7 linked regions of the Rattus norvegicus genome follow. The protein of the gene in region 5 binds, or shares a complex with, the protein of the main gene of each other region. Links are inferred from orthologs where the notes say so. Each region holds a gene or a part of one and is shown on either strand. Other genes may lie near its edges.

What was found.
Region 1: the proteins of Tubgcp6 (region 5) and Tubgcp5 are in contact, whole or in part, in a cryo-EM structure (PDB 7QJE), measured with the Homo sapiens proteins. The link is inferred for Rattus norvegicus from reciprocal best matches to the Homo sapiens genes TUBGCP6 and TUBGCP5. Residues at the interface, in NP_065194.3 of Homo sapiens: Glu290, Ala291, Ser292, Lys293, Arg294, Arg295, Cys296, Trp297, Glu298, Arg299, Val300, Gly301, Cys302, Pro303, Pro304, His306, Arg307, Glu308, Glu309, Pro310, Tyr311, Leu312, Glu314, Lys322, Arg325, Leu326; in NP_443135.3 of Homo sapiens: Asp211, Asp212, Arg213, Trp215, Leu216, His219, Val220, Val221, His222, Trp225, Ser230, Phe232, Pro233, His234, Leu238, His239, Ser240, Asn241, Leu242, Leu264, Val265, Thr266, Glu267, Thr268, Gln269, Arg272, Val302, Thr303, His304, Leu305.
Region 2: Tubgcp6 (region 5) and Nme7 share a complex: the UniProt entries of both Homo sapiens proteins name them as parts of the gamma-tubulin ring complex. The link is inferred for Rattus norvegicus from reciprocal best matches to the Homo sapiens genes TUBGCP6 and NME7.
Region 3: the proteins of Tubgcp6 (region 5) and Tubgcp4 are in contact, whole or in part, in a cryo-EM structure (PDB 7QJE), measured with the Homo sapiens proteins. The link is inferred for Rattus norvegicus from reciprocal best matches to the Homo sapiens genes TUBGCP6 and TUBGCP4. Residues at the interface, in NP_065194.3 of Homo sapiens: Leu312, Thr313, Ala315, Gly316, Arg317, Ala319, Phe320, Phe323, Leu326, His327, Glu349, Pro390, Glu391, Ser392, Ser395, Leu396, Glu399, Tyr403, Ser455, Leu456, Leu457, Thr458, Gly460, Phe461, Lys464, Lys465, Arg468, Arg471, Tyr472, Glu475; in NP_001273343.1 of Homo sapiens: Met1, Ile2, His3, Glu4, Leu6, Leu7, Ser10, Gly11, Tyr12, Pro13, Gly14, Ser15, Ile16, Gln29, Phe31, Pro32, Phe33, Leu34, His35, Pro36, Glu38, Thr56, Ile59, Glu60, Thr63, Val66, Gln67, Gln68, Ile84, Arg87.
Region 4: the proteins of Tubgcp6 (region 5) and Tubgcp3 are in contact, whole or in part, in a cryo-EM structure (PDB 6X0U), measured with the Homo sapiens proteins. The link is inferred for Rattus norvegicus from reciprocal best matches to the Homo sapiens genes TUBGCP6 and TUBGCP3. Residues at the interface, in NP_065194.3 of Homo sapiens: Pro65, Arg67, Asn68, Leu71, Met72, Ser74, Phe75, Asp76, Arg78, Asp87, Glu90, Asp151; in NP_006313.1 of Homo sapiens: Pro9, Asn10, Val11, Leu13, Gln14, Glu25, Ala26, Ala29, Gln30, Phe32, Gln33, Val36, Arg37, Ile39, Gly40, Ser41, Phe43, Thr129.
Region 6: Tubgcp6 (region 5) and Tubg2 share a complex: the UniProt entries of both Homo sapiens proteins name them as parts of the gamma-tubulin ring complex. The link is inferred for Rattus norvegicus from reciprocal best matches to the Homo sapiens genes TUBGCP6 and TUBG2.
Region 7: the proteins of Tubgcp6 (region 5) and Mzt1 are in contact, whole or in part, in a crystal structure (PDB 6M33), measured with the Homo sapiens proteins. The link is inferred for Rattus norvegicus from reciprocal best matches to the Homo sapiens genes TUBGCP6 and MZT1. Residues at the interface, in NP_065194.3 of Homo sapiens: Met1, Ala2, Ile4, Leu7, Phe8, Asp10, Leu11, Cys12, Ala14, Leu15, Pro17, Ala33, Leu37, Val40, Ala41, Ala44, Leu45, Asn48, Ile70, Leu73, Lys85, Arg88, Leu89, Leu92, Val93, Glu95, Leu96, Leu104, Leu105, Ser109; in NP_001065243.1 of Homo sapiens: Asn17, Ala20, Val21, Thr24, Val27, Leu28, Glu30, Ile31, Ser32, Ile34, Leu35, Asn36, Thr37, Leu39, Glu42, Thr43, Leu44, Ile46, Cys47, Arg49, Leu50, Cys51, Glu52, Gln53, Ile55, Asn56, Pro57, Glu58, Ala59, Leu60.

The regions. Positions count from the first base shown.
Region 1 is NC_086019.1:115,782,294-115,785,793, reverse strand, and holds part of Tubgcp5 (gamma-tubulin complex component 5), read right to left. Parts: intron 3,150-3,500; coding exon 3,035-3,149; intron 2,447-3,034; coding exon 2,357-2,446; intron 1,611-2,356; coding exon 1,517-1,610; intron 887-1,516; coding exon 640-886; intron 1-639. UniProt on the Homo sapiens protein: Component of the gamma-tubulin ring complex (gTuRC) which mediates microtubule nucleation.
Region 2 is NC_086031.1:79,210,962-79,214,461, reverse strand, and holds part of Nme7 (nucleoside diphosphate kinase 7), read right to left. Parts: intron 2,423-3,500; coding exon 2,256-2,422; intron 1-2,255. UniProt on the Homo sapiens protein: Possesses an intrinsic kinase activity. Displays 3'-5' exonuclease activity with a preference for single-stranded DNA. Does not seem to have nucleoside diphosphate kinase activity.
Region 3 is NC_086021.1:128,608,880-128,612,379, forward strand, and holds part of Tubgcp4 (gamma-tubulin complex component 4), read left to right. Parts: intron 1-731; coding exon 732-856; intron 857-3,500. UniProt on the Homo sapiens protein: Component of the gamma-tubulin ring complex (gTuRC) which mediates microtubule nucleation.
Region 4 is NC_086034.1:83,588,485-83,591,984, forward strand, and holds part of Tubgcp3 (gamma-tubulin complex component 3), read left to right. Parts: intron 1-348; coding exon 349-484; intron 485-1,171; coding exon 1,172-1,240; intron 1,241-3,500. UniProt on the Homo sapiens protein: Component of the gamma-tubulin ring complex (gTuRC) which mediates microtubule nucleation.
Region 5 is NC_086025.1:122,071,792-122,075,291, forward strand, and holds part of Tubgcp6 (gamma-tubulin complex component 6), read right to left. Parts: intron 506-3,500; coding exon 295-505; intron 1-294. UniProt on the Homo sapiens protein: Component of the gamma-tubulin ring complex (gTuRC) which mediates microtubule nucleation.
Region 6 is NC_086028.1:86,594,610-86,598,365, forward strand, and holds the end of Tubg2 (tubulin gamma-2 chain), read left to right. Parts: intron 1-186; coding exon 187-313; intron 314-1,496; coding exon 1,497-1,583; intron 1,584-1,690; coding exon 1,691-1,840; intron 1,841-2,273; coding exon 2,274-2,426; intron 2,427-2,504; coding exon 2,505-2,666; intron 2,667-2,874; coding exon 2,875-3,072; 3' UTR 3,073-3,256; downstream 3,257-3,756. UniProt on the Homo sapiens protein: Tubulin is the major constituent of microtubules, protein filaments consisting of alpha- and beta-tubulin heterodimers. Gamma-tubulin is a key component of the gamma-tubulin ring complex (gTuRC) which mediates microtubule nucleation.
Region 7 is NC_086033.1:82,202,637-82,206,890, forward strand, and holds the start of Mzt1 (mitotic-spindle organizing protein 1), read right to left. Parts: upstream 2,801-4,254; 5' UTR 2,732-2,800; coding exon 2,662-2,731; intron 1-2,661. Other genes in the region: Bora (protein aurora borealis), read left to right, coding at 3,955-4,107. UniProt on the Homo sapiens protein: Required for the recruitment and the assembly of the gamma-tubulin ring complex (gTuRC) at the centrosome.

The sequences.
Region 1 (3,500 bases), on a different chromosome or scaffold from region 5:
TGCTGCAACGGTTAAGGGGTAATCACCGCAGGTACCGCTAACAGTAGAGTGGGGACAGTCCAAATGTCCACCACAGCATGAACAAAACAACTTTTTCACAAAAAGAAATGGGGGCGCTCTCATACGCATACATAGTACTCTCTAAAAGAATGTACAGGAGCTGCCTGTCTTGGGAGAGGAACTGGAACAAGAAAAAGTGAGCACTGTAAGCTACGGCATTTTTTGGATTTTTACAGACAAATGGCTTAAAAATAGAAATTTAAGGTAGCTTCAAAGTTATTTAACATTTTATTACATTTACTAATGTGTGTGTTTCTGTGTGTGCATGCGTATATGGGTGGTGGTGGAGGGAGATGTGTGTGCTACAGTGCACATGTGGAGGTAGAGGATAACTTGAAGGAACTGGTTTTCTCCTCTATCATGCAGGTCCTACAGATTAAACTCAGGCTGTAAGGCTTGGTGGCAAGTGCCTTTATCTGCCACGCTATCTCTCCAGCCCTAAAATCACTTTAAAAACGAATATATTCATGAAAATTACTTATTTGCCATGTAATTTTTAAATGTCTTATCAATAACTGAATAACTTTAATAGTATTCAAAATGAGTTAGGTAGTTTATAAATAGAAAAAAAAGACCTACCATTACTGATAACACTCTTCTCAATCTCTGTAAGCTCCTCCTTGAAGTTAATGAAGTATTTGTAGAGGGCCCACATGAACGCCTGGTAGGTCCTAAAAGGAGCGTCAGGTGTCTTCTTAGGTATGGGACCATTTCCTGGTGATGGACTTTCAGAGCTGTGCCCCATGACTTCATCGATGAACTCCTGGAGCCGAAACACAACCTGGCCATATGCTGCTATCTGTTCCAGCACAGATCGTAAACAGCTCTACAACAGAAGTCAAGTGTTAGTGTTTAAAGCTGGCCTCTCACAAATGTTTAAACTGTAAAAGACACTGTGTGAACATGACAAAGTAATAGAACGAGTTCAGTGAAACAGTGAACAATCAATTTGTACATACTACAGAATTATTGCTTATACTTTTAAAAAACACACATAAAGTACAGAAAAAAATCATTACGCATCCTGCTTTCTCAATACAGAATATAAGATAAAATAAAAATTAAAATTAAATGTCACAAATATTTAAGAGTTGGTTAAGCTCTGTAATGATGCACAACTCAATTTTACTTTTTAGAGTTTTTACTCTCTTCAATAAATCTGATAATGTAAAATGCTCTAAAGGTCTATTACCAACATTTAAAGATTTATTTTTTATTTTATTATATATAAGTACACTGTAGCTGTCCTCAGATACACCAGAAGAGGGCATCAGATCTCTTTACAGATGGTTGTGAGCCACCATGTGGTTGCTGGGAATTGAACTCATGACCTCTGGAAGAGCAGTCGGGTGCTCTTAACCACTGAGCCATCTCTCCAGCCCTATTACCAACATTTAAAAGACTTCTGTTTAATTTTAAATTTAATTTTTAAGCAACAATAAACACAGATACTTACGTGTGTTAAATGAGTTACGATAATATTGTCTCTCACAGTTACCTTTCCATCTATCAACTGAAATATAAACAGCTTTTTTACCCCTGAAAGTAACCTGAAATGAAATAAGAAAAGATCAAGATCAATATATTTGAAGTTTACTAAAATAATCACTAAAGTATAGCTGAGAAATTTATTTTGGAAATTCAGAATTAGGGGACAAAATAGGTCAATTGCACAAAAATGGGAAGATTGTCAAACTTCACAGGATTAAGACTCAAGATATTTCAGCATCATTTTATAAGTTCAACCACCCCTACACACACACACACACAGACAGACACACACACACAGACACACACACACACAGACACACAGACACACACACAGACACACACACACACACACACACACACACACACATATGCACACAGACATACAGAACCACTAAACTCCTGAAGATACAAAGAAACCACTGCGTGTGTAACACTGTCAGATATGGATAGAATGTTAGCACCACCTGGACCCAGGGGCTCATCAGAGGTTGCAAGAGACTCACAGTGTTGGGTCTAGCACAGACAACCCTCACAGACACATTTTAAGTATAAGCAGTCAGCAGCAAACCTTGCTTTAAACTCAGGTATTCAAAAATGATGGTCTAACTCAATCCCAAATTATTTAAAATAGGAAAGAATATATCAAAATTACACAATCTTCACAGTAAAATCTATCTAAAGTCTGAAATTCATCCCTAAGGCCTGTTTCTAGCCTCCCAGTAAAATTTCTTGGGTATATTCCTTAAAAGCAAAACAAAACAATTTTCCTTTCAACAGTACAATCTCCGAGGCTGATGCTTCTTACCATAGGGTTTCCCGAATGACCTGTGTCTCAGTAACTACCACCCTGTCATCTGGAACATAGAGCGGGTCACTGCTGTACAGGTGTTGGTCCCTATTAAAGAGCAAACATCAAAGGTCAACAGAAAAGTTTTAAGTAAAATTACTTGCCTCAATGAATATATGCAGCTTTATACTCAGCAATTAAAAAATAAACACAATAAATGTCTTAAGTTCACTCCATATTCATTTTTCAGATTCACTGAAATCTTTTTAGTGAAGCATGTTCAGAGCAACTACAATTGCTTTATCATTCTATTAATTGCTTAAAACTATGCAATTTTTAAAAAATTAGTGTTTTTATAGTAAGTACATTAAAACAGAAATTAAATACAGGCTAGCATATATCAATCTACTTAAATGGAAGATAAACATAGTGCCATTAGTAATTTCATGATATTAAATATTAATTAGAAATTGCTAAAGGGAGGTAAGGTTCAGCTCAGCAAAACAGTGCTGTGTTATGTGTCTAAGGCCTTTGGTTCCTCCCCAGCATGATGTTATGTTTACTGTCGCATACATTCCACTACACTTGTTTAAAACCAACAAGTTTACAATTCATGATTTAAGTCACGAACCAAAGTTATATGCTTAACCATCAAAGTTTGTTCTGTCATTATATTAAATAAGAAGTTCTGCTTACCAGACAGCAGCTAAATTGGAGTGCAAATGTGAACTGTGTGGAATCCGGGAGCGCCTGGTTGTCCAGTACTGATGGACTACATGCTGTTCCAGCCAGCTCCGGCTATCTGGCTCATCTGCCACAAAAAGCGAAACACATATCAATATTTATAGTGACCAGGAACTTTTATCTCTTCATAACGAAAAGTGTAGCTCCCTCAGGATAAAAGCCTATGAGGGCCCTCCATGGCCACTGTCTAGTCTGTGAGAGGGCTGACCTAGAGTTACTCAAATTGTCATAAAGATATAAGATTTAAGAATTAGAAGGACCAGGTGGTGCAGTGCATGCCTTTAAAGCCAGTGCTTGAGAGGGAGAAGCAGGCAGATCTCTGAGTTTGAGGCCAGTTTGGTCTATAGTGAGTTCCAGGGTAGTCAAGACTACACAGAGAAACCCTGTCTTGAAAAACGAAAAGAGGGCTGGAGAGATG
Region 2 (3,500 bases), on a different chromosome or scaffold from region 5:
AACTAAAGAAAATCAGAATGGCAAACAGTAAGGAAAGAAGAATAAAAAGGTACATGTGAGGATAACCGTGCATGCGTGCGTGTGCACGTGCGAGCGCAGTGGGGTTACTGGGCGGTCTTTAGGCCACAACTTAGAAGGGCTGTTAGGACAGCAGCCCCTTCTCCTTTACTTTTCTGCCCTAAGGTGTAGAGCTTCCTCCACCACTCAATATCCCTTCATAATTTGTTGTGTTGCAGCGACCCAAAGCATTGAGCCCAAACAGTCACAGGATGAAAGCTACAAAACTATAAGGTAAAATTAACCTTGCACTTGCATTGTGGAGAGAGATTTGCTCAGTGATGCAAGAAACACAAAACTGAATAAGACAAGATGACAAGAATCATTCCCAGGTCCTATCCAGTCTCCTGTGTTTAAATTCCCTTTTTTTTTTTTTCAGATCTTAACATTTATTTTGGTTCTCGCACACAGCCATGAGTTTCACTGTTCCATTTTCATAGTGAACTTCACTCATCTACCAGCCTTACCCATGCCCGTCCTCTCTCCCACCTCCCGCCAGTCCCCTTTCAGATGAGGCTTCTACCCCACCCTGCCCCAGCCCCTCCTGCCAACGCTGCCAGAGAGTTGCCACAGTGAAGCAGTGTGCTGCCTACTCCTTCCCACTGGGTTGTCCGTTTTGTTTGCCCACACTCTATAGCTGACATAATTTTCTTTAAATAAAAATTTTTTAGCTGGTATGTAAAATAATGTGATTCACGGTGACATTTTTGTTACAGAGTTATTTTCACACCCCACCAACCTCCCCAATCCTGACTCATTTCTTCTTAGTCCCTTCCCCTTCCACCAAAAGTTCTCTTTAGACTTCTCTCCTCTATGCTCCCCTTTCTACACTCTATCCATCCATCCATCCATCCATCCATCCATCCATCCATCCACCTATCCATCTATCTATATTCCACTTATTTTTTTAAAAAACCACCTGATATCTCTCAGTTGTCTGGCTTCTTTCACTTAATGTAATGATCTCCAGTTCTATCCACTTTCCATACATTTGAATTTCATTCTCTGTAGCTGAATAAAATTCCCCAGAGCAAGCTATTTCTTACTTTGTGATTTCTGATGGTCTGATCTCTGTCTCTCTCTGTCTCTCTCTGTGTCTGTGTCTCTCTCTCTCCTCTCTCTCTCTCTCTCCTCTCTCTCTCTCTCTCTCTCTCTCTCTCTCTCTCTCTCTCTCTCTCTCTCTCTCTCACCTGTGTCCTTTGCTCCATCTCCCTGAGGCATCTCCTCATCATCTCACCCAGAAGTTACTAAAGCTTCCATTCTTTGAGCTTTTTTATTATTATTATTATTATTATTATTATTATTATTATTATTATTATTATTATTTTGAGACAGAATCACATGTAACCCAAGCTGGCCTTAGACTCCCTGTGTAAACTAATATGACCTTGAACTTCTGGTCTCCTACCTTCACTTCCCAAGTGCTGGCATGACAGACATGTGCAGCCATCTCCACTTTTATGCAGAGCTGGGGCTCAAAGCCCAGACCTTTGGGGCTTCATCTGTGCTAAACGAACATTCACCAACTGAGCTGTTTCCCAGCATGCATTAGTTACTCCATTTAGTTAATCAAGCGCACTCCTATTTCTTCTTCATATCTATTGTTACCATAATCATTCAGATCATTATTTTAGTAATTAAACTTATATAAGTTTTAGCCACCAACTTACTCAAGCAGGATAATAAATAGTTGTTCTCAACTTAGGATGGACTTTCCCACCTTTGTATCTTTCTATATACTCACTCCATTGACTAGCATTTCTCCCCAGTTCATTTACTTGGGTATAATTCAATTCAGTTTTATCAAGACAGAACAAACACACAAAGCCTTCAGTCTTGCAAGAATTAACTTCATTTTTTCCTGAATTTACAGTGATTGGTGCATTATCACATCCCCTACCCCAATGTCACACTTATCCTTAGGAAGAAAACCTTGTGCTCAAATAGTCTTAGGTTTTAGTGAGAAATATACATAAGGAAGATAGAATGGGTAACAGCTTTATCTCCTCCCCCGACCCGTCCAAATAACCACCTCCTAGTACTACAGGCAATACCTCATTATTCAAGGAACGAATCCCAAGAGTTTTTTTGAATGTTATAAAGCTATACTGGGTCACTGGAAAAACTAGGTTATGAAGACATGGAAAGGGAGTCACAAGCAACGTTTCAATGGAAAACGATGACACAAGTGTCCTTACTTCTCTTTCCTGCTGCCCAGCTGGCGGGCTGTGTACTGGTCCCCATAGTCAATCAGCACCAGCTGTCGAGAAAACACATTGACTTTGTTGCCTATAAATAAATCTTCCACGCGCAGGTCCTCATACTTGGTCCGCTTTAAGAAGGTGCGACGATTCTTGACATCATGCTAGCACAAGCACAATGAGAATACTGTTGATGAATGAATGTATGCCGAACAGAGAACAGAAAGTTTCCAACAATAAAATACATATTTTAAATAATCCTGACTAGACCTATATACTAGCCAAGTACCCCAGCAACTATTAGCAGCAGACAGATTTTCATATTTCTTATTTTTATGTACACATTTCAATACCAAAGAAGCTCACTATAAATTGTATTTTCTTTAAGTGATGTATATTTATGTGTGTCTCCCTCTCTGTGGGGATGTACATGTGAGTGTGGGTACAGAAGACAGTGTTGGCTTGCCAGGAACTAAGTTATAGTTGCTGTGAGCTGCTTAGTGCAGGTGCTGGGAATCAAACTTGGGACCTACAAGAGCAGCAAGCACTCTTAACTGAGCCTTCTGTCTAGGCCTTCCATCCCCAAATAAGCTGCCTTTTTAAAGCAATTACCTATGAAGGGATGCAAAGACAGGGACCCTCTTAGAACCTCTTCAATTTGACGTTTTATACAGAGACCAACTTTTAACAATAATATTTATGACTCTAATAACCATTTATCTCTAATCACTTATCCAAAATTGATTAATCCAAAATACCAGTTGTCCTACTTCATTTTGGGGTCTCTCTATATATCTACTTCTATGTGTGTGTATTCTATGTATGTTCATGCATGTGTGTGTATGTAGGTGTGCATGTAGAGAGCCATAAAAGGTTGTCTGATGTCACTTCCCACCTTATTCTATCATCAGAGGCTCTCTCACTGAGCCTGAAGTGTGCTCTGAGTTAGGCCAGCTGGCCAGAGAGCCCCAGAGAGCTCCAGTCTCTGTTACTCGAGGTTGGAGTTATCAGAGGGAAAAAGGCCCAGTTCTTATGTAGGTAGGAGCTTAAGAGGCAAGCTCAGACCTTCACACCTTTGCAGCAGTATTGTTTCCAAATTAGGCCTATTTGTTTGTTTGGGGAGGCCTCAGCCTCCTAAGCATTGAAATTATAGTCCAATGTCACCAAGCTTAAGCTGCTTTTATATTTTTAATGTAAAATCTTGCAAAAAATACTTTAGTTAGAAATTTGCAACAAGACTGG
Region 3 (3,500 bases), on a different chromosome or scaffold from region 5:
CTGACTACCCTGTCTACCCTGACTACCCTGACTACCCTGACTACCCTGTCTACCCTGACTACCCTGTCTACCCTGACTACCCTGACTACCCTGACTACCCTGTCTACCCTGACTACCCTGACTACCCTGACTACCCTGTCTACCCTGACTACCCTGACTACCCTGTCTACCCTGTCTACCCTGTCTACCCTGACTACTCTGTCTACCCTGTCTACCCTGACTACCCTGTCTACCCTGACTACCCTGTCTACCCTGACTATTCTGACTCCTGTCTACCCTGACTACCCTGACTACCCTGTCTACCCTGTCTACCCTGACTATCCTGACTCCTGTCTACCCTGACTACCCTGTCTACCCTGACTACCCTGACTACCCTGTCTACCCTGACTACTCTGTCTACCCTGTCTACCCTGTCTACCCTGACTACCCTGTCTACCCTGACTACCCTGTCTACCCTGACTATTCTGACTCCTGTCTACCCTGACTACCCTGACTACCCTGTCTACCCTGTCTACCCTGACTATCCTGACTCCTGTCTACCCTGACTACCCTGTCTACCCTGACTATCCTGACTCCTGTCTACCCTGACTACCCTGTCTACCCTGACTACCCTGTCTACCCTGTCTACCCTGACTAACCTGTCTACCCTTTCTACCCTGACTACCCTGTCTACCCTGACTACCCTGACTACCCTGACTCCTGTCTGATGATCGTGTCGTCATACTCCACAGGGTCCATCTTGAAAAACCAGGAGGACACTTTTGCTGCCGAGCTGCACCGGCTCAAGCAGCAGCCACTCTTCAGCCTGGTGGACTTTGAGCAGGTGGTAGATGGGATTCGTAGCACTGTGGCTGAGGTCTGTCTTCTGTCTCATATTCTTCCAGAAGAGATGAGTTTGTAGAGCACTAAAGGGCACGAAGGAGAGACAGGGACAGGACAGAAAGATGGATGGGGCTGGAGAGGTGCTCGGTGGTTAAGACTTAGGTTCAATTCCCAGGACCCACATAGTGGCTTTCAACCATTTGTAACCCGCTTCAGGGGATCCAGTGCCCTCTTCTGAGTTCCAAAGGCACAAGGCAGACACCCTCACGCACAGAAAATAAATAAGTAAAAGTACATCTACTTTTCAGGTAGAAATGGAACTAGCCCTTCCACTGGTGTGTTTTAATTAGTTGATTAAAGGGGAAGTCTCAGTTTAATTCCTAACACTCATGAATTTGGGTGCTAAGAAGTTTTGTGTGTGTATCTGCCTGTGCCTGTGTGTGTTTTAGTATCAACCATGTATTTCTCTAGCACACAGTAATCTTAGAAGGAAAGCAAGCACAGGATGGTGGTCCTGGCCCTTGAGACAAGTGGGAAGGGAGGAGTAGGATTCTGGGTACTAGTATTTCTTGACTTGAGGGTGCTTATGGTGATTGCCATGTCCGTTGTGAACTTCAAGGTGTAAGCTTATGATTTTTGTTTTTCTATGTAATAGTCACTACTTTGACAATAAGGTTTTAAAATTTTGGATAATATAAGAGAAAAACGCTTGTATCTTCAGTTGTTTATTATTTACATGGAGACATAGTATTGCTAATTTATTGCTGGCTAATCTTACACATTCCACTTAACTCTGCGTAACTAACTTTTAATTTATATGTTTATTTTATGTATATAAGCACACTGTAGCTGTCTTCAGACACACCAGAAGAGTCATCAGATTCATTACAGATGGTTGTGAGTCACCATGTGGTTGCTGGGAATTGAACTCAGGACCTCTGGAAGAGCAGTTGGGGCTCTTACATCTGTTTTTGTTTGTTTGTTTGTTTGTTTGGGTTTTTTTTTGGTTTTTTTTTTCGGAGCTGGGGACCGAACCCAGGGCCTTGCGCTTGCTAGGCAAGTGCTCTACCACTGAGCTAAACCCCCAACCCCAGTGCTCTTACATCTGAACCACCTCTTGAGTTGAGTCCCTGGTTACCTAACTTAGTTCTGGGACTTGATACTTTTTTTATGTACTAAAGATGACCGCCCCTGAAAATAATGTTTTACAACATTTCTCCCAGTGTGTAAACATACATTGTTCTAGGCTCTTTATTGAAACAGTAGACAAGTGGGCTTTGTTTGCATAAATTGTGTCAAACAATAGAGGTAATATTGGACATTTCTGATTTCCTGACTCTTAGAGATGCAGAGTTCATGCATTACTATGATATTTACTGTAGGCTTCTAGAAGGAAGTTTAACAAAGTATTCTCTTCCTAGTTAACCGATTTTTTTATCCTAAGTGATGTCAGTTTTACCAGTTGCCCCTTGTGTTAGTGAAAGAGAGCATCCTTGCCTTGAATCCATTTCTCTTTCATAAAGTTTTTACATCTGTGTGCATTAGTTAAGAAAGACGATTGTCTGTCTTCTCTGTCTTATTCCTGGGTAGTTTTTACATAAGCCTTATAAAATGGGCTAGGTAGCTGCTTTTGTTCTTTCCTTATTATTTGTAAAAACAGTCTATATCAGTAATTGGCTACTGAAAGTTTGAACTTAATGAGAAGTGATCTAAGCTAGACTTTCTCAGGAAGAAAAACTTTACTGGTTGAGTATGTTTTAAAATGAAATTACCATAAAATTTCTTCTTGTAACAATTTTGATAATTCTGTGACTGTGGAACTTGACTATTTCAGTTTTTTTTTTTTTTTTTTTTTGGTTCTTTTTTTTCGGAGCTGGGGACCGAACCCAGGGCCTTGCGCTTCCCAGGCAAGCACTCTACCACTGAGCTAAATCCCCAGCCCCGATTTAATTTTTTAAAATACTTGTTTGTCTATATTATGTTTTGTTTACTTAAATTCTGTCTTTTAAAATTTATTTTATGGCCTGTCAGTGGTAGCATTGGAGAGGCAGAGGCAAGTGGATCTCTGAGTTTGAGGCCAGTTTGGTCTACAAGGCAAATGGCCAGAGCTACACAAAGAAACCCTGTCTAAAATAAATAAATAAATAAATAAATAAATAAATAAATAAATAAATAAGGAAGAAAGAAAGAGAGAGGGAGGGAGGGAGGGAGGGAGGGAGGAAGGAAGGAAGGAAGGAAGAGTGTGGTATGTATACTTATGTTACAAAGAGTGTGTGTGTGTTAGTGTGTGTGTGTGTGTGTGTGTGTGTGTGTGTGTGTGTGTGTGTGTGTGTGTCCATGCACACCCACCTGAGAATAGTTTCAGATACCTTCTTTTGGCTAGCCTGGCTGGCCAGTGAGCACCAGCATCTCCCTGTCTTGCTGTCTCCCAACATTGGGTTCTGGACATGAGCCACTGCACTCAGCTTTTACATACATGCTGGAGATCTGAACTCAGGTCCTTATGCTTGCTTAGCAAGATTTTTCATCACTGAGCCATCTCACCAGCCCCAGTTTTTCTCATTATTTAGTCTTGTTAGGCTTTTATTAAGATTAATAAGCTAGTTATAATCAGCTTCTCCTCCTTAATTTAAAACATTTATAAATGGAAAAATCACATTATTTCAATGCATAGATAA
Region 4 (3,500 bases), on a different chromosome or scaffold from region 5:
TTTCTTAATGAAGCAGAAGTGAGGTTTTTAAAAGCATTTTATTAAATTGTGAACACGGGTAAGAGAAAGAAGCATGCAGGAAGACAGTAAAACACTCCAAAGTGTGGTGTGGGCGCCTCAGAGGGTCTCTCTGTTGTCTTTGCAGTGGTCATATACAAGGTCTGGAGCAATGCTCTTAGAGCCTTCTCAGAAACCTGAATGAGACCACAGAGCAATTGCTTGGGACCATGGTGCTTTCATAACTATGTCTAACTGTTCTCCTTTTCCATTTCTGAGCTTTTACTTCTTTAATTATTTTTTTTAAACTTTAAGTAATAGTATCTTTAATTTTGAACACCTTTTTAAAAGACCAGAACTTGTTCGGCCCGCAACAACTTTGTATCAGCATAACTTGACGGGGATTCTTGAAACTGCTGTAAGAGCCACCAATGCCCAGTTTGACAGCCCGGAGATCCTTAAGAGACTAGATGTGAGGCTGCTGGAAGTAAGTGAGGCTGCTGGGGGCCTGTGAGGGTGCTGGGGGTGTGTGAGGGTGCTGGGGGCGTGTGAGGGTGCTGGGGGCGTATGAGCGTGCTGGGGTGCATGAGCGTGCTGGGGGCGTGTGAGGGTGCACATCTTTCTGAGGGGATAGGTCCCCATAGGTCATGGGAGCATCACGGTGCTTAGTGGCGTGAACCACATTTAATGGTACATTGGAGGTGATGCATGCATGTGGTCAGCAGGCAGGGACTGTGTCTGCTCCTCAGACCACGGGAGTCTGGAGCTGGTCTGGTAGGAGGGCTGTGCTTAGCATGAGCATGAGTCTTCACTGCCTGATCTGCCTCATCACTAAACCCACTGGCTTTTTGTTTTTAAGTTTCTGAGCTTGATAGGAGACAGTGTGGGTTCATCATGAAAAGGTTGAACTTCGAGCGTGTGTCTGTACTGCTCATTCAGAACAGTGCTGCTCATTCCCACATGATCACAGAGCGCCTGGGATGTGCTCCGCTACTCTCCCCTCGCTCGCTCTGAGCTGGTGCCAACGGGGCAGATCCCTGCTCGCACAGCAGAGCGCTTCCTGGTCTTAAAGCCTGCACCTCCTGTACTCCCCTTCCTTAGAGCAGTTGGCAGGTTCCTTAGCAGTGAGTACAAAGCCTCTCCAGTATTTGTTGTTTTATTTTATTACTCTTAGGTCTCTCCTGGTGACACTGGGTGGGATGTCTTCAGCCTGGATTACCACGTCGACGGACCAATTGCCACTGTAAGGTCATTTTGTGTGCTTGTGTGCTTGTGTGAAGTATGCGCAGTGTTTGGATTGCTGGGCTTTTTATTGTTTCAAATTGGCTTTCTTTTCTAAAAGCTAAGGTTCAAAGGAATTGTGATGTCAGGGTCTACCCACTGAGTGGGTTGCATAAGCCAAGGCTGTGTTCAGAGAGTTATTAATGAGAGCGGAAACGCTCGGTGATTTTAAGAATTCTTAGAAATATCATTGTTCTGTCACAGGTTGCAGCAGGTGCTTATTAAACGCATTGTTCATTTTATGCCATTATTCTTAGACTGTAGCAAGTAATGTAGGATAATTTGAAAGGAAGCATAAAGTATATTTTAGGAGAATCGTATTTTTTCTCCTTAGGTGAGTTTGATATCTAGCATTCATCTAGGCTGATGAGCTGAGAGCTGTCCCGTAGTGAGCTCCTTCGCTCACTCACTGAGGAGGGCGGTTTGGTCTGCGGCACGGAGCGTCGGCTGGAGGAGCTGCCTCCACACGCCTCCAGCTCGTGTTCCCGCCCTGTAGGGTTAACTGAGACTTAGTCATTTCTGCGTCTGAAATGCTAGGGAAATAGATTACATTTCCTTTATTATTGGGGACATTTGCTAAGCATGACTGGGCTCTAAAATCCCTTCTCTAGTGGGTGTCGCAGGTGGCTTCATGACTGTCCCTTCTGCGTGATAAGTCGAGTCCCTTGGCATGATTCTGTGTAGGCCACATTCACAGAGTGCCACCCAGAGCTGTGTCGTAAGTCCACGGGGCCTGAGAGCTTCAGGAGGTTTCTTTGACTTGTGGATTCCATGTTTGACTTTGATCAGGTCAGAGCTGCTAGTTTAACTCCACAATTGCTCTTAAGTTTACCCACTACCATATTCAGTGTGGCCCTGGGCTTGTGCTGTGAGTTGCTGTTCTGTGTGGTGGACTGTGCCCAAGTGTGTGCTACATCAGCAAGTTAGGACTGATATGTGCTTTCTTAGATTGTGGCTGTAGTATTTATTTGTATGCATAAAGGACACAGTAAGGCTCAGGGTACAGCTCAGTACTGGAGCACTCCCCTAGTGTGTCTGAGTGGCTCCTACGCTCCATCTCCAGGCCATTACTTATTGATGGTGTCACACACCTCACTGGCATGCCACAGTTGCACACCGTGTACTGTGGATAGCTAAAACTCAGGTTTTGAATCCATCTTTAGCAGGACTGAAGAACAACATTTTATGACATATCTGTGACAGCCCAGTCTGGCCCACAGGTATCCATTCAGACACCAGCTGAGTTGGTTGTGTCAGCAGCCTGGTCTGCTTGATGGAGAAAAAAGAAGGGGTGGTGTGATAGCTTAGTCAGGACCAGAGTGCCGGGCGTGTTCTCCTGCATGACTTGTGGTGTTTCTGTTTGTGGGTGGTGAATTATTTTACCATTGCTATCCTCATGGGCTTATTATTGCAAAAGCGCATGTGTTCAAATCAGCATTAGCGGTTGTCTGTCAGGTTTAATTGTAGATGTTACTGAGGCTGGAAAGAAGGTGTAGGAAGCCAGCTAAGTGAGTTTACTGTACAGGATTGATGGCTGCAGTCCAGGTCCCCAGCTCTCATGGAGATGCTGAGTGGTTCTGGAGTCCCCTGCAGTCCCAGTGCACAGGAAGCAGAAGTGAGATCCCCAGAATGGGCAGGCTGTGTGGCTGAGCAGAATTAGCGAGCTCTGGGTTCAAGGACAGAGAGACTCTGTCTCAACAGTAGAAGATGAAGGCATCTGCATGCATATGCAGCTATGTCCAGGCATGTACACACATGCAAGAAGGAAAAAGTACACAAAAGATAAGGGAAGCCTAGTGTATAAATACAGCCTTTTTCTGCTTTTCCCTTGGTTAATTTGTGTGTTACCTGTTTCCGTTCTATTCTCATTAATTGAGGTTGTCATTTTTTGAACAGAATTTAATTATAGTAGGAATATATCCTATAGCAATCATATAATTATATCTCGTATAATAGCAGCATTAGCTTCTACTAATTCTAAGATGTAAAATGTCAGTGAGATTTTTGGGTTAGTCTAATTTGGGACATTGTGAAATTCACAACCCAGGTTGCAGAAGAACGCATTAGCTAAATGCAGCTCGTTAACTATGTGCAGTATTTCTGGTTGACCCTGCTTTTCATGAGTCTCAAGTTATTTGTGGTAAAGTCCATCCAGATTTAAGAGTGGCGAGGTCACTGAGTCTCGATTCCAGCTACAGAAGACTGATTTGGAGGGCTTTGCT
Region 5 (3,500 bases):
TGATCATGATAAGTTCTTTTGTTCAATAATATAAAGGACATCATTAAGTCAACTCTTAAAATCTAAACAGAATTTCTGTTTTGTTTTCTAATACTGGGGATTGAGCCCAGGGCCTCTCACATTCTTGGCAAGAATTCTAACACCAATTGGCCTGCCCAGTCTAACCTGTGGCTCTTTAATCAGCCCCACAGAGCAGCCTTCTCTGGCACTCATGGCACTGCATCTCCAGCTGAGCGTGCCTGGGGAGGCTGTCCCACAGAGCGCTGGTCTCAGATAGCCCCGAACCCTCCTCACCTGACAGAGGGAAAATGTAGCAGAGACAACACCCAGCAGAACGTTCAGTGAGTCTTTCACCAGCTCGCTTTCCTCCACCAGCACAGGCCTTGGGGTCTGGAGGAGGCCCCCACTGAGGGCCTGTAGTTCTCCATGACAGAGCCTGCAGAACCTGTCAAAGGCATCCCTTCCTGCCTCAGTGAGGTAGGGCTCCTCTCGGTGACCAGGGGGACTGTTGAGGAAGACAGAAGAGAAAGAGGTGAACAGATTGGATGGCATGGTGTGCTTTCCCCAGGCTGCAACTGAGTTTCTCAGGCAAATGCCCTGAGGTCCCCAAAGCAGCACCCAATCGTGATCGACAGAGACAGGTTCATACAGAGTGCATTCTTCTTGTGTGCTGCTTGTGTATGTGTGCTATATGTATGTTTTATTTTAGTGTGTGTGGGGGGGGAGGAGGGTAATGTGTGTTTTGCTTTGCATGTATGTTTGTGTATCACACGCATGCCTAGTGAGGCCAAAGGAGGGTGTTAGATCCCCTGGAACTAGAATTATAAATGGTTGTGAACCACCTTGTGGGTGCTAGGAATTGAACCCAGGTCCTCTACAAGAACAAGTACTCTTACTTGCTAAGCCAACTCTCCAGCCCCATTGTTTTATTTATTTTATGTGTATGAGTGTTTTGCCTGCATGTCTGTGTACCATATGCATGCAGTCCCTACAGAGGCCAGAAGAGGGTATCAGATCCCCTGGAATTAAAGTTACAGATAGCCGGGCAAGGCCAGCCTAGTCTAAAGAATGAATTACAGGCCAGTCAGGGCTACACAGAAAAACCGGTCTCAAAACAAAACAAAAAATGTACATGCTAACTTAAAATTAAAAAAATAAAAAAAATTGGGGGGTTGGGGATTTGGCTCAGTGGTAGAGCGCTTGCCTAGCAACCGCAAGGCCCTGGGTTCGGTCCCCAGCTCTGAAAAAAAGAAGGAAAAAAAAAAAAAATTGGGGCTGGAGAGGTGGCTCAGCAGTAAGAGCACTGGTTAGTCTTCCAGAGCATCTGGGTTCAATTCCCAGCACCTGTGTGGTAGCTCACATCTGTCTGTAAGTCCTGTTCCACCGGAGCCATCCAACACTCTCACACTGACATACATGCAGGCAAAACACCCATACACCGAAAACAAAAACATAATTTTAAATTTTTATTTATTTATTTTATGTGCATGAGTGCACTGTAGCTGTCTTCAGACACACCAGAAGAGGACATCGGACCCCACTACATACAGATGGTTGTGAGCCACCATGTGGTTGCTGAAAATTGAACTCAAGACCTCTAGAAGAGCAGTCAGTGCTCTTAACTGCCAAGTCTTACACAATATATAGTTAATTAAAAATATATTTTTAAAAAATCAAGGGCTGGGCTGGAGAGATGGCTCAGTGGTTAAGAGCACTGACTGCTCTTCCAGAGGTCCTGAGTTCAAATCCCAGCAACCACATGGTGGCTCACAACTATCTGTAGTGGGATCTGATGTCCTCTTCTGGTGTGTCTGAAGACAGCTACAGTGCACTTATATAATAAATAAATAACTCTTTAAAAAAACAAATCAAGGACACTAGTACATATCCAGGCCTGGTGGTACTACTCAAAAGACTAAGGCAGAAAGATCTGTGGTGGAACTGATTCCTCACGGAGTAACCCAGTCATTAGACATCATGAAGCCTGGGCTAGGGTGAGCTGCACAGTGAGACTTTGTCCTACACAACAAACTGCCCATGGAAAACCTGTTTAACAGGTCTACGATGCTTTGGACCCAACGAAGGCATTACTCCAGTATTTCCTACCACCACCAGTTTCTTGATTCTTTTTAAAATTTCTTTTTATTTTATACATGGATGCTTCAGCACATGCATGCCTCATACCCTCAGAAGCCAGAAGAGGGCATCAGATCCCCTTCTGACATTTGTACAGTTAGCTGTCATATAGGTGTTGGGAATTGAACCTGGATGTGAAGAGCAGCCAGTGTTCTTAACCACTGAGCCATCTCTCCAGCCCCATTTCTTGGTTTCTTTTTCCTTTCCTTTTTTGTTTTGTTTTGTTGCTGTTAGATTTGTTTGTTTGTTTGTTTGAAGACAGAGTTTCTCTGTGTAGCCCTGGCTGTCTTAGAACTCACTCTATAAAGACCTTGTTTCAAGCTCAGAGATTTGCCTGCCTCTGCCTCCTGCTTGCTGGAATTAAAGGTGTGCATCACCACTACCTGATCCCTTTTTAAATTTACTTATTCCTGTGCGTGCGTGCGTGCGTGCGTGCGTGCGTGCGTGCGTGCGTGTGTGTGTGTGTGTTTATGTGCTGCCTATGTATGGAGGATCCCATGGAGCAGACTAAGGCATTTGATCCTTTTGATCCTCTAGAACTGGGGTTAGAGAGGACTGTGAGGTACCATGTGGGTGCTGGAAACTGGGTCCTCTGGAAGAGCATCCAGTTCTCTTAACCTCTGAGCCATCTCCCCAGCCCAGTGTTCTTCATCTTAAGACCCTCCATTAGGGGCTGGAGAGATGGCTCAGCAGTTAAGAGCACCCGACTACTCTTCCAGAGGTCCTGAGTTCAAATCCCAACAACCACATGGTGGCTCACAACCATCTGTAAAGTGAACCGATGCCCTCTTCTGGTGTATCTGAGACAGCTACAGTATACTTATATATATATATATAAAAAAAAAAAAAAGACCCTCCGTTAGAACTCCTCAAATGTCAGGGGCAGTGATGCCTATGTATAGTACCAGCTACCTGAGAGGCTGAGGTAGGAAGAATCCTTTAGCTCAGGATTTTGAGGCTAGCTTGAGCAACACAGCAAGACCCTGTTTCAAAGTACACTTTTGGAACGTAGTCTTCCTTGCAGGAAACACTGCCGGAGTACTTTGGAGAACACCAAAAGGATGGAGTGTCTTCACAATGGAAGACAAATGAGCTGGTAGGTGACCATGCCTCCCAAACAATGACCCAGAAGAGTTACAGATGAGTAATACCATAAATATTTATAAATGAAAGGAACAGGCTGTAAGGTCAGTTTCTCAACATGTAAGGGATTGGTAGATAGGAGGAACATTTGCTTTATACAAACAAGACAGAACTAGAACCCTGCTGTGAAATTACAGGACAGAGAGGGCTCTGAAACCATCAGCACCATTTAAGCTACAAAGCATGGAGCTGGCCATCCCATGAGGGAACAAATGACCAGA
Region 6 (3,756 bases), on a different chromosome or scaffold from region 5:
GCAGGGAGATGGGATGTTCCCTTGGGACCTACAGAACGTGGCTTGTCCTCTGGGTGCCAATTTCTGAGGCGTGCTCTTGATCCTTTTGTACACGAGCTCAGTGGCACTTGGAAAGGAGATCGATGGCTGGGGAGGTCCTTCCGGTTCACAGTGCCTTCCTCTGCTTTCCCTCTTCTTTGCCCTCAGGTACCCCAAGAAATTGGTGCAGACCTACTCTGTGTTTCCCAACCAGGATGAGATGAGTGACGTGGTGGTCCAGCCCTACAACTCCCTCCTCACCCTAAAGAGGCTGACCCAGAACGCGGACTGTGTGGTGAGGAAAGGAAGAGGGAGTCAGGACTTAGCTCCCCTTCTAAGACTTGTCCGTGCCCTTCTCTGGCCCTGGCTCACACAAAACACCCAACAAAGCCATGACACTGGGCCAGATTATGAACTAAGATGCCAACTTCCAAGTTGCTTCCAGGATTTTGGGGCAGCCACAGAGTATTCCCCTGTCCCGGCATATTACCCCATTTTGCCTATTCGGTGCCTCCTTGTGCTTGAACTCAAAGGTCACTTTAATAGCAAAACCTCCCCGCCTCCATTATTCAGATTCCTTTGTGTATGTTGTGAACTAAACTTGTCTTAGGTGCACGTGGTTGTTTATGCCCGTAATTCCATTTTTGCGTAGGCTGAGGCAAGAGGATCACTATTTGTTCAAAGGATAGCCTGGGCTACATAATTAAGTTCCAAGCCAGACTGAGCTATGGACTGAGATCTAGTCTAGACTAAAAGAAAGAAATGGGGGTTGGGGATTTAGCTCAGTGATACAGTGCTTGCCTAGCAAGCGCAAGGCCCTGGGTTCGGTCCCCAGCTCCGAAAAAAAGAAAAAGAAAAAAAAAAGAAGAAATGAAGCAGGATTTTACTAAATCTGTCCTAGCTGACCTCAAACTTGTGATCCTCCTTACCTTACCTTTTTCTTAAATGTATTTATTCTATGTGAATACACTGCAGCTGTCTTCAGACACACCAGGAGAGGGCATCAGATCCCATTACAGGAGGTTGTGAGCCACCATGTGGTTGCTGGGATTTGAACTTAGGACCCCTGGAAGAGCAGTCAGTGCTCTTAACCGCTGAGCCATCTCTCTAGCTCCCCTACCTCGGCTTTTTAATTGGAAATGTGTGTACTCCCATGCCTGCTGTATTTATGGCTAAAAGAGACTAAATCTGAGCTATACCTCCAGCCTTGTTTCAATAATTGCTTTTTCCTGGACTGTAGGCCCAAGGGCGGCACATATCTGTTCTCTGTAGTCTCTCTAGAACCAAGGCATGTGGGGGACATATATGTTTATGGTCCTGTGTCATGCCATTACTCTTATGGTATCCCAGAGATAGAATATTTCTTTGAAGGTAGCAAATCTACTTCCTGGTTTGGGAATTTACAGACATTACGCATTGTCTTATTCCGAGGTCCCCTTTTGCCTCAAAAGATGTTATAGAGCCCCATATCCTGCCAGGTGGTGCTGGACAACACGGCCCTGAACCGGATCGCCACAGACCGCCTGCACATCCAGAACCCATCCTTCTCCCAGATCAACCAGCTGGTGAGCCCCCACTCCTGGAATGAGAGCCCTCTGTCTGCGAGAGAGTCATCAGAGGAGGGACGCTCCACCTCCATCAAGTCCCATGACACAGTATTTCCTGCTCCCAGGTGTCCACCATCATGTCAGCCAGCACCACCACCCTGCGCTACCCCGGATACATGAACAACGACCTCATCGGCCTCATCGCCTCACTCATTCCCACCCCTCGACTACACTTCCTCATGACTGGCTATACCCCCCTCACCACGGACCAGTCAGTAAGAGCTCCCCCAGTGTCCCAGCACTGAGGCCTTTCCCTTTTCCATACTCTCCCACACAAAGCCACTCTTTGCAGCCCTTCTCTACCCACCTCCCCAGGTTCTATACTCAGGGCCTGACACTGCCACCAGTTTGCAGCCCTGCCTCCGTGTTCTACTACCTTTGTTTGGCTCCTGCAGGAGTGCTGCCCAATGGGGTCTCCTGCTCATTGCTCAAGGGCATGGGATTGGTGAGCTGAGAGCCATGATCGATCAATTGATCGATCCTAATCCCATGGCAGAGACTCAGCACAGACCTGATCTAAAGACAGTCCCCAGAGGCCACACCTCCTGCCAGCTGATGGGGACAGAGTTGACCCTTCTCCTCTGTCCATGCCACTCTGAGTTGCTCCCTGACTGCTGCCCGGGTCCCTGTGAATCCCTGTTCCCTCAGGTGGCCAGTGTGAGGAAGACAACAGTTCTGGATGTCATGAGGAGACTGCTACAGCCCAAGAACGTGATGGTGTCCACAGGCCGGGATCGTCAGACCAACCACTGCTACATCGCCATCCTCAACATCATCCAGGGAGAGGTGGACCCCACCCAGGTAAGGAAGGCCTCTTTACCCTAGCCTGGGGACCACAGGATGGAGAAGAAGCCACCACCACCTCTCTGCCCACTTCAGGTTCACAAGAGCCTGCAGAGGATCCGGGAGAGGAAGTTGGCCAACTTTATCCCCTGGGGCCCGGCCAGCATCCAGGTGGCCCTGTCAAGGAAGTCTCCCTACCTGCCCTCAGCCCACCGGGTCAGCGGGCTCATGATGGCCAACCACACCAGTATCTCCTCGGTGAGCACAGTCTCCTGTTGTCCCTGTGTTACCGGGAGTCAAACCCAGGGCTTCGGGAATGGGAGGTAGCTCTCCCCACTCTGAGCCACACCCCAGCTCCTGGTCTTTGGCCACTCTGCTCCATTCCCTATGTCCTTAGTCCCCACCCTGTCTGTCCCTAGTTCTGTGTTCTGCCTGCATGCTGTTCTGAAGCTCTCTTTCCCTCTAGCTTTTTGAAAGTTCCTGCCAGCAGTATGACAAACTGTGGAAGCGGGGGGCCTTCCTGGAGCAGTTCCGCAAAGAGGACATCTTCAAGGACAACTTTGAGGAGATGGACAGATCCAGGGAGGTGGTGCAGGAGCTCATCGATGAGTATCACGCTGCTACCAGGCCGGACTATATCTCCTGGGGCACCCAGGAGCAGTGATTGCATTTTCTGCTGTTCCCCTGGACAAGCCCAGCCCCCACCATGCCTGGACCTTCTGACACAATGTCCCCTCACATTTCTGAGTTCATGTCCCGTCTAGGAGCTGTTCCTATCTCTTCCTTCTCATTCCTGGTTCTTCACTGACTTCTTTGGTTCTAATAAAGCAAGAAGGCTCGATGATAAATACAGCAGAGCTTGGTCTGTGACTATGGGACACCAAGTGAGCACACCTTCCATATGACAACACATGACAACAGGCTGGCCTTCACCTGCTCCAACTTACTCCTTAGGTCTTAGTGTGTTTTCACTGTTCCCCATCTTACCTCGAACCAGCCTGTTTTCCTAGGGGTCAGTCCCTCTCTTGGGATGACTGAAAGTTCCTGACCTGCTGTATCCTCAGTGCCTATGCCCCTGTTCCCAGTTGGGTGACGTTGCCTTAACCTCTTATACTCAAGAGATACAGGGTCTAGGGACAAAGGGGCCATGGTGGTCTGAGCAAGTTAGAATAGCTAGGATAGAGGAGTCCCATTGTCTAGGACCACCATCGTCTTCAGGAACATAACCGTACTGAACCAGCCTGACAGAATAAAAAATTCAAGAGTAGTCCTGCGCCCACCATACCAGAGATGTTTCTACATCTGCACGCGGCCCCAGTCACCTCTCCATTTCATTCTGAAGGCACAG
Region 7 (4,254 bases), on a different chromosome or scaffold from region 5:
TTTCCATGTCAGTATTAAAATTTTTTGACTATGGAATACAGTAATGCCTGTGGGGTTTTTTTCTGCTAATGGTTTGAATTTTTCTCATAACTCATTTTCCTGTTTCATATAAGCAGTGATTATAAGCCAGATACTGTAAATTTACTTTGTTGGTAAAGGATGTGTTTTATGTTTCTGTAAGTACTCCTGAGCTTATAATAAATATAGTTACCTGGAAACAGATTCACTCAGGTCTAACTCTTCACATCAGTTGGGCAGAATCCAAGCACTGTAGTCAAGAGCTGACGCTGCTACTAAGGTAAGACCTTTCCATACACTCTACTCATTGCTTCACAAATTGTGTTTTCCTCGCTGGCTGGTAGAAGGTCTTCCAGCCCTGTGAGAGCATAGTACTGTGTTCCCTCTGCTATCCTGGGTGTTTTGTGCCCCTCCCACCTGGGTCTCTGGGTGGTAAATGTGGTAACTAAGCTAAGGCCCTCTGCACTATGTCCTCATCTCCGAGACTGCTCGCTATCCCAGCTCCCTCTCTGTTCCCTTATGTGCTCGGCCTTTCTGTTTCCATCTCCTTTTCTGTCCTCTGTCCCTGCTTCTCTGTCCTCAAGGCTCTGCTCCCATCTCTGGGCCTGTTTTATGTCCACTACCTCTTCTCCAGGCCCTCACTCCTCTCCCTTCCCCCAAATAAACCCCCTTTATACCAGATCTGTTGCACAGTGTGATTTCTCAGGGGGACACCTCGGCATGGGCCCACCAGGTACCCGACCGCCATTATACTTCATAGCTATGACTTACAATGACTTTCTTTTTTCACCTACCTAAGGTACTTTGTGACATTTGGATGAAGGCTCTTCTCAGATGGGAAGCTCCTCTTGCTCACAAGCTCTTTGATCCCCTCTCAATACGGCCCCAAGCTCTCTGGACAAAGGTTTATAGAGGCATCTTAGCTCAACACACAGATGATGCTTCTCCATCTCTGAGGGCAGACGGTGCATTTCTGCCTGATAACTGGCAGAGCAGCACACTTCCTCAGAATCCTCCAGACCCTACTATGGTTCCCTTCTGCTCCTCCCTTGTAGGGAAAACCTCTTTCTCATCAATGGAGACTTCCTAGTCTTGCTTTTGAGTATGTATGGCTGTGGAAAAATCAAATTCCTCCCACAGCACGGGCAAACAAGTTACATGCCTGCCTGCTCCAGCAACTGCAAACTTTACCGTGAGTCCTACTCACCTAGCAAACCAGTGATATCAAAAGATTAAGTCACTGTTGGGAATCTGAAGCAAGCAAAATGATAAGGAGAAATACATTCAAGCTTGAAGAAAAACTGCTACCAAAGGAAGAGACGGAATCCCAACTTTGAAAATTTCATGTTGGTTCTCATCCCAATGACTTAACTGCACTAAAACCTCACGCATGTTCTCCATTCATTAAAAATAAAAGCAAACAAACTTCTCTGGTCTTCATTTTTAAATGGTTTTCTATTTTGTGCTTTTTTACTTTACAGCAAGTTCTCTCAGAAAAGGTAGGGATGCAAAGCCTTTCTCCCAGCAGGCCACCAACTAGACCAGTTTCCCTCCTCAGACACTATTCACAACACACACTGGTGTACTCAGCACTCCGTGGACACTCCGAATGAAGAAAGAGAAAGCTCCGGAATTTGAGGTCACTCTAGGCTACACAGCGAGAGTCTGTCTCAGAACACAACCCCAAACCTACAATGGTACCCTTGTGTCCATAAATTTACTTTATGGTAAGTTAAGCTGTGGAACATTCCAAGATCCTATCAGAAGGGGCAAGATATGGTGGGCGTTTAGTGAAGAAAACACGGGGCAGTACTGTGACATAAGGTTATCTCTTAAGTTGCTGGGGTGGTAACCCCTAGAAACCGTCAAAGCCACTGCATATAGCAGCACCACATATTGATGGAAACTAGTAAAATGAAGTAAGACAAAGAAAGATGCTTGCAGACGGGATGGCAGCTACTGCAAAAGAAAAAGCAAACAAACAAAACTTGATGAACGCTTGACCTGGTTGTCTTATTTTAAATACCCACAGTATCCCTTGGAACTACAACTTTATTTTAATAAAGAAAATAACTATGGGGTCCCAGAGGTGCGAAGCTGCAGAACCACAGCGGAGAGAAGGCAATTCCGAGGCTTATTTTCGTACCAGTGGGTGCGCTCTACCCATTTGACGCGGGCGCGGACACACCCACAACAGCAGTCACCCGTGTCGCCCGGTCTAAGGAGTGGGAGATGGGGACCGGAAGATGTCCTCATACACTAGAAACAAATTGCTCCTTACTGAAACGCCAGAGACTGAGCAGTGACCGAAGGTCCACGACCCCTTTCGCCCGGGACTTCAGTCGCAGGCTTCTGCGGTGCCACAAGCACGCGCCAGGGGCCAGGCGGGTCGCGTGGACCCAGGCCGGGCGCGCAAGCAGCGGACGCGAGGCCAGAACGCCCCGCATGCGCCAAACTACGCCGCAGCGGAAGACCGGCGCTCTGGGGCCGCCACCTTCGAGGTCGCCGTGGGTCCCTTCCCCGTCCCCTCGCAGGACACCGCTAAGGTCGATGAGGGGACCACGGGGCCCTCCACGACGCCCCCACCCGGGGCTCAGCGCCGGGAAGCGCAGGCCGGGTAAAAGGAGCGCGACACGCACTCACCGTCCATGGTCTCCCTCACCGCGTTCAGGTTGGCCGAGGCCGCCGCGCCCGCGCCGCTACCGCTAGCCATGGAGAGGAGAAGCCCCCGACCGGTGGGAGAAGGCCTGACCCGGAACTGGAGCGCCCGCCGTTCGGCCCCACTATCTCACCGCGCGGCCGCGCTCACGCCGCCTAGGCCCCGCCCCCGCCGTCCAAGCCCCGCCCCCTCGCGCAGAGCGCGGACGCCTGACCGCGTTGATTTGAATTTGGAGCCTCGTTCCCTTGCGCGGAACGTAGAGCGAGGAGTTAGCGTTCGAATTCACCCCACCGCCTCGACGCCATTGGCTGGTTCGCGGACGGCGGTGAGACGCGATTGGCCGGTGGCCTCTCCCCGCCCCGCGCCCTGGTTGGCCGGAGAGCATTGAGGGAGTTAAAGAGTCGGCGCCTGCGGTGGGCCCTGCGGGGTGCTAGAACTTCCACGTTACCCACGAATGTCGGTACGTCCTCCGTGGCCCCAGGCCTGGACTCCTGTCTCGAGTTGGACCGCTCTGGTTTCCTGGCTGCAGACGTGCCTGTGCGCTCGCCTAGGTGTGAAGGGGAGCAGAGAGAGGGACGCCTGGAAGCTGAATGGTCGCTGGAAGTGACGTCCCTGCTGGTACGGAGGGAGCCCGCTCAACTTTGGTCTTCCAAAAGTAAATTCTTTCTTCTTTTTATCCCCCGCTTCTGGCTGCAATCCTGTTTGGAAGGAGTGCAGCGTGCCTTTGGATCCTGGCGGGAAGTGGTCTTCGGGAAAAGTAGTTTAAATCCCCACCTGGATCCACCCTGTCAGTCATCTGTTCAAGTGAAGACTAACGTGCCAGTAGTAATAATTGCAGTTCTTTATGGGATTACGTGGGTATCCAGAGGGTGTTCATAATATTTAGTCTGGAGAAAACGAATAAAGAGAACGGCAAATAGGAGTCGTTTGGTTGGAAGGTGCTTGAGTTTAGTGTAATCAGATTGAACCAGACCTCACTCATAACTGGTTGGCTGGTTCATATATGCCGCCTAACTTCCGTGCATGTGTTGCTTCCTCAGAAAAATGATAGCACCAGTGCCTTACCTCCCCAGCTTCCAGGGTTAGCTTCTCAGGATCATCTGAGAAAACGTACGGGATTAATTCTCCTTTATAAACATAAACTAACCCCAAGAGGATGCCATTTGGAGTGAACTCTTTGTGAGATGTCGAATGTATTTTGTCAGGATTAATATCCATGATACTCAGTAATTTTAACATGTATACTTTTGATTTCTTTTTAGTTTGCTTCCTGGGCTATGGGAGATGTCAGCGAATTAAAAATGCAAATAACACCAGCAACTCCAGGAAGGATCCCTGTTTTAAATCCCTTTGAAAGTCCCAGTGATTATTCTAATCTCCATGAACAAACCCTTGCTAGTCCTTCTGTCTTTAAGTCCACAAAACTACCAGTAAGTTTTTTCTTGCCTAGTGTTTACAAGTGATTTTAACTGAAAGTAACTACAAATAATTTTAAGTGTAAATACAAGGAGAAGATGGCACCGAATCTTCTAATGGTTCTTTCAGCAGACATGATCTGAGCGCTCTTATGTGTATAG